2 linked regions of the Cricetulus griseus genome follow. The protein of the gene in region 2 interacts with the protein of the main gene of each other region in a pairwise test. Links are inferred from orthologs where the notes say so. Each region holds a gene or a part of one and is shown on either strand. Other genes may lie near its edges.

Region 1 (3,744 bases), on a different chromosome or scaffold from region 2:
ACATCTGGGTATGTGCTCAAAGGTGACATGCTTCCGCTCAGTCCCTTCCTCCCATCTAATGTGAATGTCGGAGGCCTTAAACCCAGGTCCGCAGCTCTCAAGGCCTTTCTTCACTCCAGTCCCCACTGTTCACCAAGACAGCCAGGAGACTGTACCCCTATGTCTAGGTATGTCCAGTCCAGGCTTATCTCTGCCCAGTATACCACCCTGATTCAAAAGCAGCAAGGAAACAGCCCTGCTGCGGGTTAGAGGTAACCTGTCTTCACAGGTGACAAGCCAGGCCAACTGATTAGTAGCGAATTCTAAGACACTGAACAATCTCTCTTTCTCTCTCTTTCCCTCCCACAGAATGTCTTGAGTAGTAGAAAGGCCCCCAAGATCACCAGGATGGAACAGGATTGCAGTCCTGGTACATCATAACCAGCCCTTACGCCGTGTAGACCTCCTTCCTCTCTTGCCCACACTGTTCTTACCTGTCCAAGGAAGCATTCGGAGCATCAGTTCTCTGTGGACCTGTCCAACATCTAACAAGCATTATGACCACCACTCTCTTCCTCTGCCTTCCCTTTTCCTGATCTCATCTCTCTCTCTCCTCCCAGGTGCATTCTTATTAATTTATCTACCTTAATCTTTGAGTTACAGTCCGTTTTCAGCTTCTTTTACTCCCGACTATAGGTAAATAAAAACTGCAAGAATCTACTCCTTCAGCTCAGAATTCTTCCAGAGCATGCTCCAGCCCCTAGACCCAGGTTAAGGAAGTCTATACTGGCAGCTTGTAGGCCAATTGGAAGCCACCCTTGGCCTTCTGTAGGCCAGGTCTGGCCACTGTGACCACAAGAAGACTCTAGGAAATGGGCAGTGTGAAGCTAGGGAGAGAGGACACACACACACACACACACACAGAGAGAGAGAGAGAGAGAGGGGGGGAGAGAGAGAGAGAGAGAGAGAGAGAGAGAGAGAGAGAGAGAGAGACTCTTCCAACACCTGACTGTACTTTGGATTCCAGCCTTCTTTCCCCTCCACCTGCTGGGGTCTTTCCTCTCTGGACTTCCTCTCCAGGTCCCAAAGACCTGATCCTGACCACACCATCCTTGTCCCAGTGTTGATCTTCAATAGAGAAGGTCCTCTACCATCGAGTGGAATGAGATGTCTCTCAGCAAATGACCAAAGCAGTGACACTTGCCCTCTGCCCCCAGCCCTTTGCATCTCTACCAAATGAAACCTACTCCTCAGAATTCCATTTTTCAAAGCTTTGTAGGTCCAAGACTGTCTTTGGTTTAGAGAACTGTTTGGCTCAGAAACTGAAACCCCCAAATTGACCCAAGGACTATCAACCTGGCCTGACACCCCCCACCAGCTACAACAGGACCATACTACAGGACTGAGTGAGGCTTCTGCTCCTCTCCTCTCCAGGCCTCAGTACCTCATCCTAGAACTCTGCCCTCACAATAGCAAGGACATCGGTCCAAAGCATGTCACCTGGACACTCACCTGGGAACCTTAGTAGTTATATGTTCCACAGGCTTTCAATACCATCTCCGTCTACCCTCATTCTGCATATTTGTATTAACACCCCAGAGTCCGGAGCCTCCCACAACTCACAAATGCCTGAGACACACACATCACAGGCAGACATGCAATGCACACGGATTCCCAAGCAGCCACTTCTCATGTCTAGCCTCAGTTCCATCTGCTGAGGCGCTGGACCCTATTCATACACATCTGACCCCTTCCACCTTGCCTGATCCTGACCACACCATCCTTGTCCCAGAGTTGATCTTCAATAGAGAAGGTCTGGCCATCCTCCTCCCATGGCCCCTTCAGAAGCACACACACACACACATCTGTGAGGGGCTGGTCACCAGGTCTCAAGTCTGTCATTGGAGCAGAAGAGGGCAATTCTCCCACAGGAGGTTTCTCTCTACTAGGTTAGAAGAGCTTTCATACTATCATCCAAGAGGTCTGTGTGGGTCTCAGGCTAGGCCCATTAGCTGCTGACCCTTGACCTCTGACCTCCATGTGGGAATCCTCTCTACCTTGACATACTTTCCCTGCCTTTCCCTGTTGACCTGCCCTTCATTGGGCACAGCTGAGAAAACTGGACACCTGGGAAGGTGGTGAGGGACTGCAACCTGCATTGCATGGCCTGGGCCGCTGTCTCTACCCCTGTGCCCCCAGCCCTGCCAGGCAGGCCCCACCTCTGCATTACCTCTGACCTCCAGCACAGTGAGCACAGCCTCGCAGGAGGCCTGGCCACGCTCATTCTGGGCGCTGCAGCTGTACACGCCGGCGTCCTGTGCCCCGCAGCTCCGCAGCCACAGGCAGCTGGGCTCTGGGGCCGGTGTGGGCAGGAGCTGCCCATCCCGGAACCAGCTGAGGCTAGGCTGAGGTGTCCCACTCACTACCACCCGCAGCCGCACATCACTGCCCGCACACACCGCCGCGTTCTTCAGGGGCCGCAGGAAGACCGGCGCCCCGGCCCCTGCCCCGGTGGGGAGGACCCCTCTGCCGGCCCCCACCTTGGCTCTCTTCGGGGGCACCCCGGGGCTGGGAGGTGCCCTCGTGCCGGCGTCCTCGCCTCGCGTGCCCCGGCCCTTCTGCATGGCCTCTGTGAGCTGGACTAGACGGGCAGGGGACGCTAGAACTGGGTGGCCAGGGGGACGCCCCGGGGGGTATGGTGCCTTAAGAGATGGGTCCTATGGGGCCGGCGGTCGGCCTTCCTGCTGCCCGCCCGCCTGCAGCCTGTGCTACCCAGAAGGTCACCAGGGCCGCCCGCGGTTGCGCCTCGGGGACTATTTTTAGGCCCCCCAGCTCGGGTTGCGAATGAGCAGTGAAGGGAGGGGGTAGCAGAGGAGGGGACTTGGACTCCATGTGGCTCCTTCTCTCTCTCCCAGTGCCCCCATCGCCAGAGCTGGCCTAAAAGAATCTCCTCCCCCCACGGTATGTCTGTCCCCCTCACCCCCGCCCCCAGGCAGCGGTAGCTGGGGAGTCGAGTTACCCCTGGGCTCAGGCCCACTTCCTTTCTTCAGCCCAGCTCCCCAGCCTCACTAGGCTGCAGGAGAGGAAGAAGAAAGGTCCAGAGGAGATGTCTGAGAGGTGCATGGAGAAACAGGCCCCAGCGGAGGTGAGCAGAGGGACCAAAAAAAGGCTCTCCCAGCATCTCCATTACAGCTGGTAAGCAACAAGACCCACACCCTGGAGTTCTGGTGGAGTTTTGGCTCCTAGCTGGTCCTGCACTCACTACTGCCAACACCCCACCTTCACCGGCCAGGTCACCGCCAATCCTCTAGCAATCTGCCCTTACCTGTAGTTGGCTAGGAATGTAACCAGCAGCAAAAGCAGCCAGGGCAATGGAGACAGAAGGACACCACGAGGAGAATATGGTGAAAGAGGGGTTTGGAGGGCTTGAAATGTGGGGCTCCATTCCGAAGGCAGGAAGCACTATGACTGATTGCAAGCTTTTGTCCATAGTTGTGGAGGTTTTACACACACACACACACACACACACACACACACACACACACACACACGAGTAGAGACAGGTGCCCAGGCCACTAGACACAGGTTGCTGTCCCTCACTACCTTTCCAGGTGCTCAGTTTTCTCAGCTGTGCCCACTCTGAAGGGCAGGTCACCAGGGAAGGGCAGGGAAACTGTCAAGGTAGAGAGGCTTCCCACATGGAGGTCAGAGGTCAAGGGTCAGCAGTTAGTGAGTCTAGCCTGAGACCTACACAGACCTCTTGCT
Region 2 (3,744 bases):
TACACAAGCCTTAAATCCCAGCACTTTGGAGACAAAGGCAGGCTGTACCATGAGACTCTGCCTCACACCAGATACCTTACGTGTGCAGCAGATGGTGCAGTGCTTGCCGCTCAAGACTTGACACACGCACGCACACGCACACTAAACAGTGTTAGGAGTCGGAAGGAAGAAGGTCATCTGAGCACGAGGAGGCCTGGAGTGGAGAGGCACATTTGGGAACTTAAAGGACCCTGTGCTTGGGCCGAGTACTGGTGGGACAAAAGGTAAGAGGCAGGGGCACAAACCCAGCAATTGGCATCCATCTTCAGGCCAGGAGTAACTTTCTGCAGATCCAGGGAAACTTCCTGGAGGAGATGGAGTCCAAATTGCCGCGTGGGAGTTGGCCAAACAAAGGGAGATGGGTGTTTCATGCAAAGGACTAGGAGGCCACAGGTCTTCAGAACTCGGCACAGTCCAGTACAAGGTTATGGCTCATCGCACTGACATTCACTACGACTCCTGACAAGTTTCAGGACCCCTGATGAGAACGCCTCCACATCTACTCACAGCGACTCGGCATTTTCCCCTAGCTCGCCCACGCGCCCCAGTTCCGGAGAAGCCACCGAACGTTGATGACTGATGTTCCTGGGAGCCAATCGCTTCCGCCCAAAGCCCCGCCTACCTCCTTGTGGGCCAATGGTCCCTGTCGTTCTTGGCCAGTCTCTCGAAGGGACTGGAACAAGAGCCCTGCAACGTCACGTTTTGCTCAGCTAATTGCGGCGACGGAGAGGCGGGCCATCTTAATGATCCACAGCAGAGTCTCTCGACATCCGCTTAGCGCGGAGCCCGCCGGGAAGCTTCAAGGCGGAGCTGGCCGGAAGGAGGCGGGAAGACCTGGTGGGATATCCTCCAATCATCACATGCGCTGCCTAAGATAGACAGACAGTTGTTCCCTTCCTAGCCGACAGGAGGGGGTGGTCCTTTGAACGCTAGGAGGGGAGGGCGCCCGAATTTTGATAGACGTGCTCAGCGCCCAATTGCAGTGCGAGGCGGTTAGATTGACGGCTGCGCCAGCCATTGGAAACTTATGGCGGGGTCTCGGGGGCCGGGCGGTGGACCCTCTGGTAAAAGGCGGTCCCCGGCCGGGGGGAGAGAGAAGAAAGGGGGGGGTCTCGGAGGCCGGAGGACTCGGGTGAAGATGGCGGCAGCCGAGGCCGCGAACTGCATCATGGAGGTGAGTAGCTGGGCTCTTTAGGCCAGTGGGTAGGGGGAGGACGACGGGTTACCCACGGCCTGAACTGTGGAGACGGGGCCTTGGGTGTGCTGGGCCTCGCGGAGGTCCGCATCGGGGGATGTGTTCAATCGTGACCGGGGCGACCCCAGCTTATGGGACTCTCGGACCCCGCAGTCGAGTCGAGGGCCGTCGCACGTGGTCGCGGGCCGGGGGCGCGTCCAGCCGGGCCGCACGTGGTCGCGCAGCGTAGCGTGGGGAGGGGGGTGTGCCACTCGAGGGGCCCCGCGGGTTCCACGTGCGGGACAAAGGCCCCGCCCCCGGCCCGGTGACCTGGGCTGCACTCCGGGGGTCCTGGGGGGTGCCACCTGCGTCCTGCTGTCCGCTGGGTGGTGGACATCCGTGCACCCTCGTGGGGCCTGACCTCACTTTCCTCCACTCTGAGTTACCCCTGTGCGGTTGGGGGGGGATGGGCAGAGCCCTGTGACCTCTCTGTTAGAGGATGGTGGGGCATCTCCACCGAGGAGATCCGGATCCGGCGCCGGGCACCCCCTCGTGGTCATTATGGGCTTGTGAAAGGGGCTCTTTTTCATGGGGCGTGGCCCAAAGCCCACCCCCTCATGGAAGCGCCCTCGGGTGGATGGTCAGAGGTCGGTCTTGGGGCTGGATGGCTATGTAGGCACGCAGACCAAGGGGCCTTGACCCCCACCCGACCCCTTTTTTAGGATTCTCACCTTTGCCTAATTTCCCCCCCAAAACAGAATCAAATTCTAGCACCTGGCTTATTTGCTTACAGTTGAGTGTTTCCACCCCTGAGCTGTATTCCTCAGTCCACTTTTTACTAACTTTGATGCAAAGTGGGTCTGGCCTTGAACTCACCCTGTAGCCCAGGCTGGCCTTGAACTTGCCATCTTTGCTTAAGCCTTCCGGGTAGCTCTCGTGAAAGACTTCACTACTAGGCCTGTAAATCAGATCCTCTCCTAGTCTCAGGTTTCAAACCCTCTTCAGGAAGCCGTGTGGTGGTGCATGCCTTTAATCCCAGGACTCGGGAGGCAGAGACAGGCGGATCTTTGTGTGTTCAAGGCCCATTAGAACAAGTTCCAGGACAGGCTTCAAAGCTACACAGAGAAACCCTGTCTCAAAAAAAAAAAAAAAAAAAAAAGCCAGAAACAGAACAAACCCTCTTCAGTCAGTTGTTAACCTGCTGGTATCTGTACTACTGAAAAAGAGAGGCCCACATGGGAACTCCCCCCACTGGCTACCCGACCCCTGAGGTGGTAGATCGTGGCCTCTCTGGCCTTAGATAGCAGTCATCTATCTAATGGGATAATGATGGGATATAATCTGGTGGTACCCATACCTCTTCAAGTTCTCTGGAGAGGAAGGTCAGTTGCTGGGACACCTGCCATGGGGATCAGTTCGCCTACAGTGTCACTGAAGTGACCCTGGGCCTGGCACTTGTGGACAAAGGAAAAAGAGGGCAGTTTTCAGTGTGGGGACCAAGGTGGGGTGTGAAAGGGGGGGCTTTCGTAAGCTCACACGTGGCGGTGGGGCTCAGGCGGATTTTGGCAGAAATATTTATCGTAACAGCTTGCCCCAGCTTTCCAAGGCATATTTTGTACTCCTGGGGGGCAGCCCTCTTCCGGGGGCAGGTAAAACAAAGAGCCTTGCTCTGTGTGTTCCTTGCCCGGGTGGAGCTGGGGTGGTGTACTCACTGTGGTGTGGGGGTATGCCACATTTCTCTATTGGAATGATCTTTGGCCAGGAGACAGGATTGTGATGGGGCAGACAGGTGCCCAGCACCCATTACCTGTCAGCCCCCTCCGGTTTATTCATGGCACTTCAGCCTGGTGTGTCTGTCAGGAAATGTCACCTAATCTAGGGGGGATTAGGTAGTGAAGGGGAGCAACAGCTGAAAGTGCCCATGTGCCTTGGCAGGTATTGGGCCCTCTGGCCTAGATAGGGTAGGTATGTGTGGCCAGTTATCTGACCAGAGAGGGACAACATGGGGCGGGCCACCATCTCTTCAGCCAACAGCTGGGACAGGAGACCCCACCTTCCTTTCCCTCCCCACTTGTATCCCTTCCTTACACAACTGCAGCCACACTGCTTGCTCCTGCTTACACCACTCCCATGCCCAGGAAAAGCCAACCTGCAAAACACTCACTGCCCCAAAGGCCTTCCCCAGCCACCCCAGTAGCTAACCCTTTTTCCCTGTTACTCTCTCCTAGAATTTTGTAGCCACCTTGGCTAATGGGATGAGCCTCCAGCCGCCTCTTGAAGAAGTAAATATCCTTTTGTGAGACCCCCCCAGCCCACTTGCATATAAGCATACTTTGATATGCACCTGGCTCCTCAGGAGGTCTATTCATCCTCTTGCTTCAAACCAGTTTCCCCTGCTGTGGCCCCTAAACACATAGGACAGACCCCTTCCTGGCCCAAGCTGGCTCCCCCAGAACCATGGCTGCTTCCTTAACTCCATCTCCAGCCCTCCTCCTCTGGCTTTCAATGTGTCTGCCCTGGCTCTGCCCTCC

The links. The genes of interacting proteins can lie anywhere in the genome.
Region 1: the proteins of Prmt1 (region 2) and Speg interact in binary tests that used the Homo sapiens proteins (3 or more experiments, as listed by UniProt). The two-hybrid records come from large-scale screens. The link is inferred for Cricetulus griseus from reciprocal best matches to the Homo sapiens genes PRMT1 and SPEG.

What each region holds. Positions count from the first base shown.
Region 1 is NC_048595.1:428,521,048-428,524,791, reverse strand, and holds the start of Speg (striated muscle preferentially expressed protein kinase), read right to left. Parts: upstream 2,604-3,744; coding exon 2,210-2,603; intron 1-2,209.
Region 2 is NC_048599.1:153,870,600-153,874,343, reverse strand, and holds the start of Prmt1 (protein arginine N-methyltransferase 1), read left to right. Parts: upstream 1-1,106; 5' UTR 1,107-1,177; coding exon 1,178-1,213; intron 1,214-3,441; coding exon 3,442-3,495; intron 3,496-3,700; exon of another isoform or gene 3,701-3,744. UniProt on the Homo sapiens protein: Arginine methyltransferase that methylates (mono and asymmetric dimethylation) the guanidino nitrogens of arginyl residues present in proteins such as ESR1, histone H2, H3 and H4, FMR1, ILF3, HNRNPA1, HNRNPD, NFATC2IP, SUPT5H, TAF15, EWS, HABP4, SERBP1, RBM15, FOXO1, CHTOP, MAP3K5/ASK1, MICU1 and NPRL2.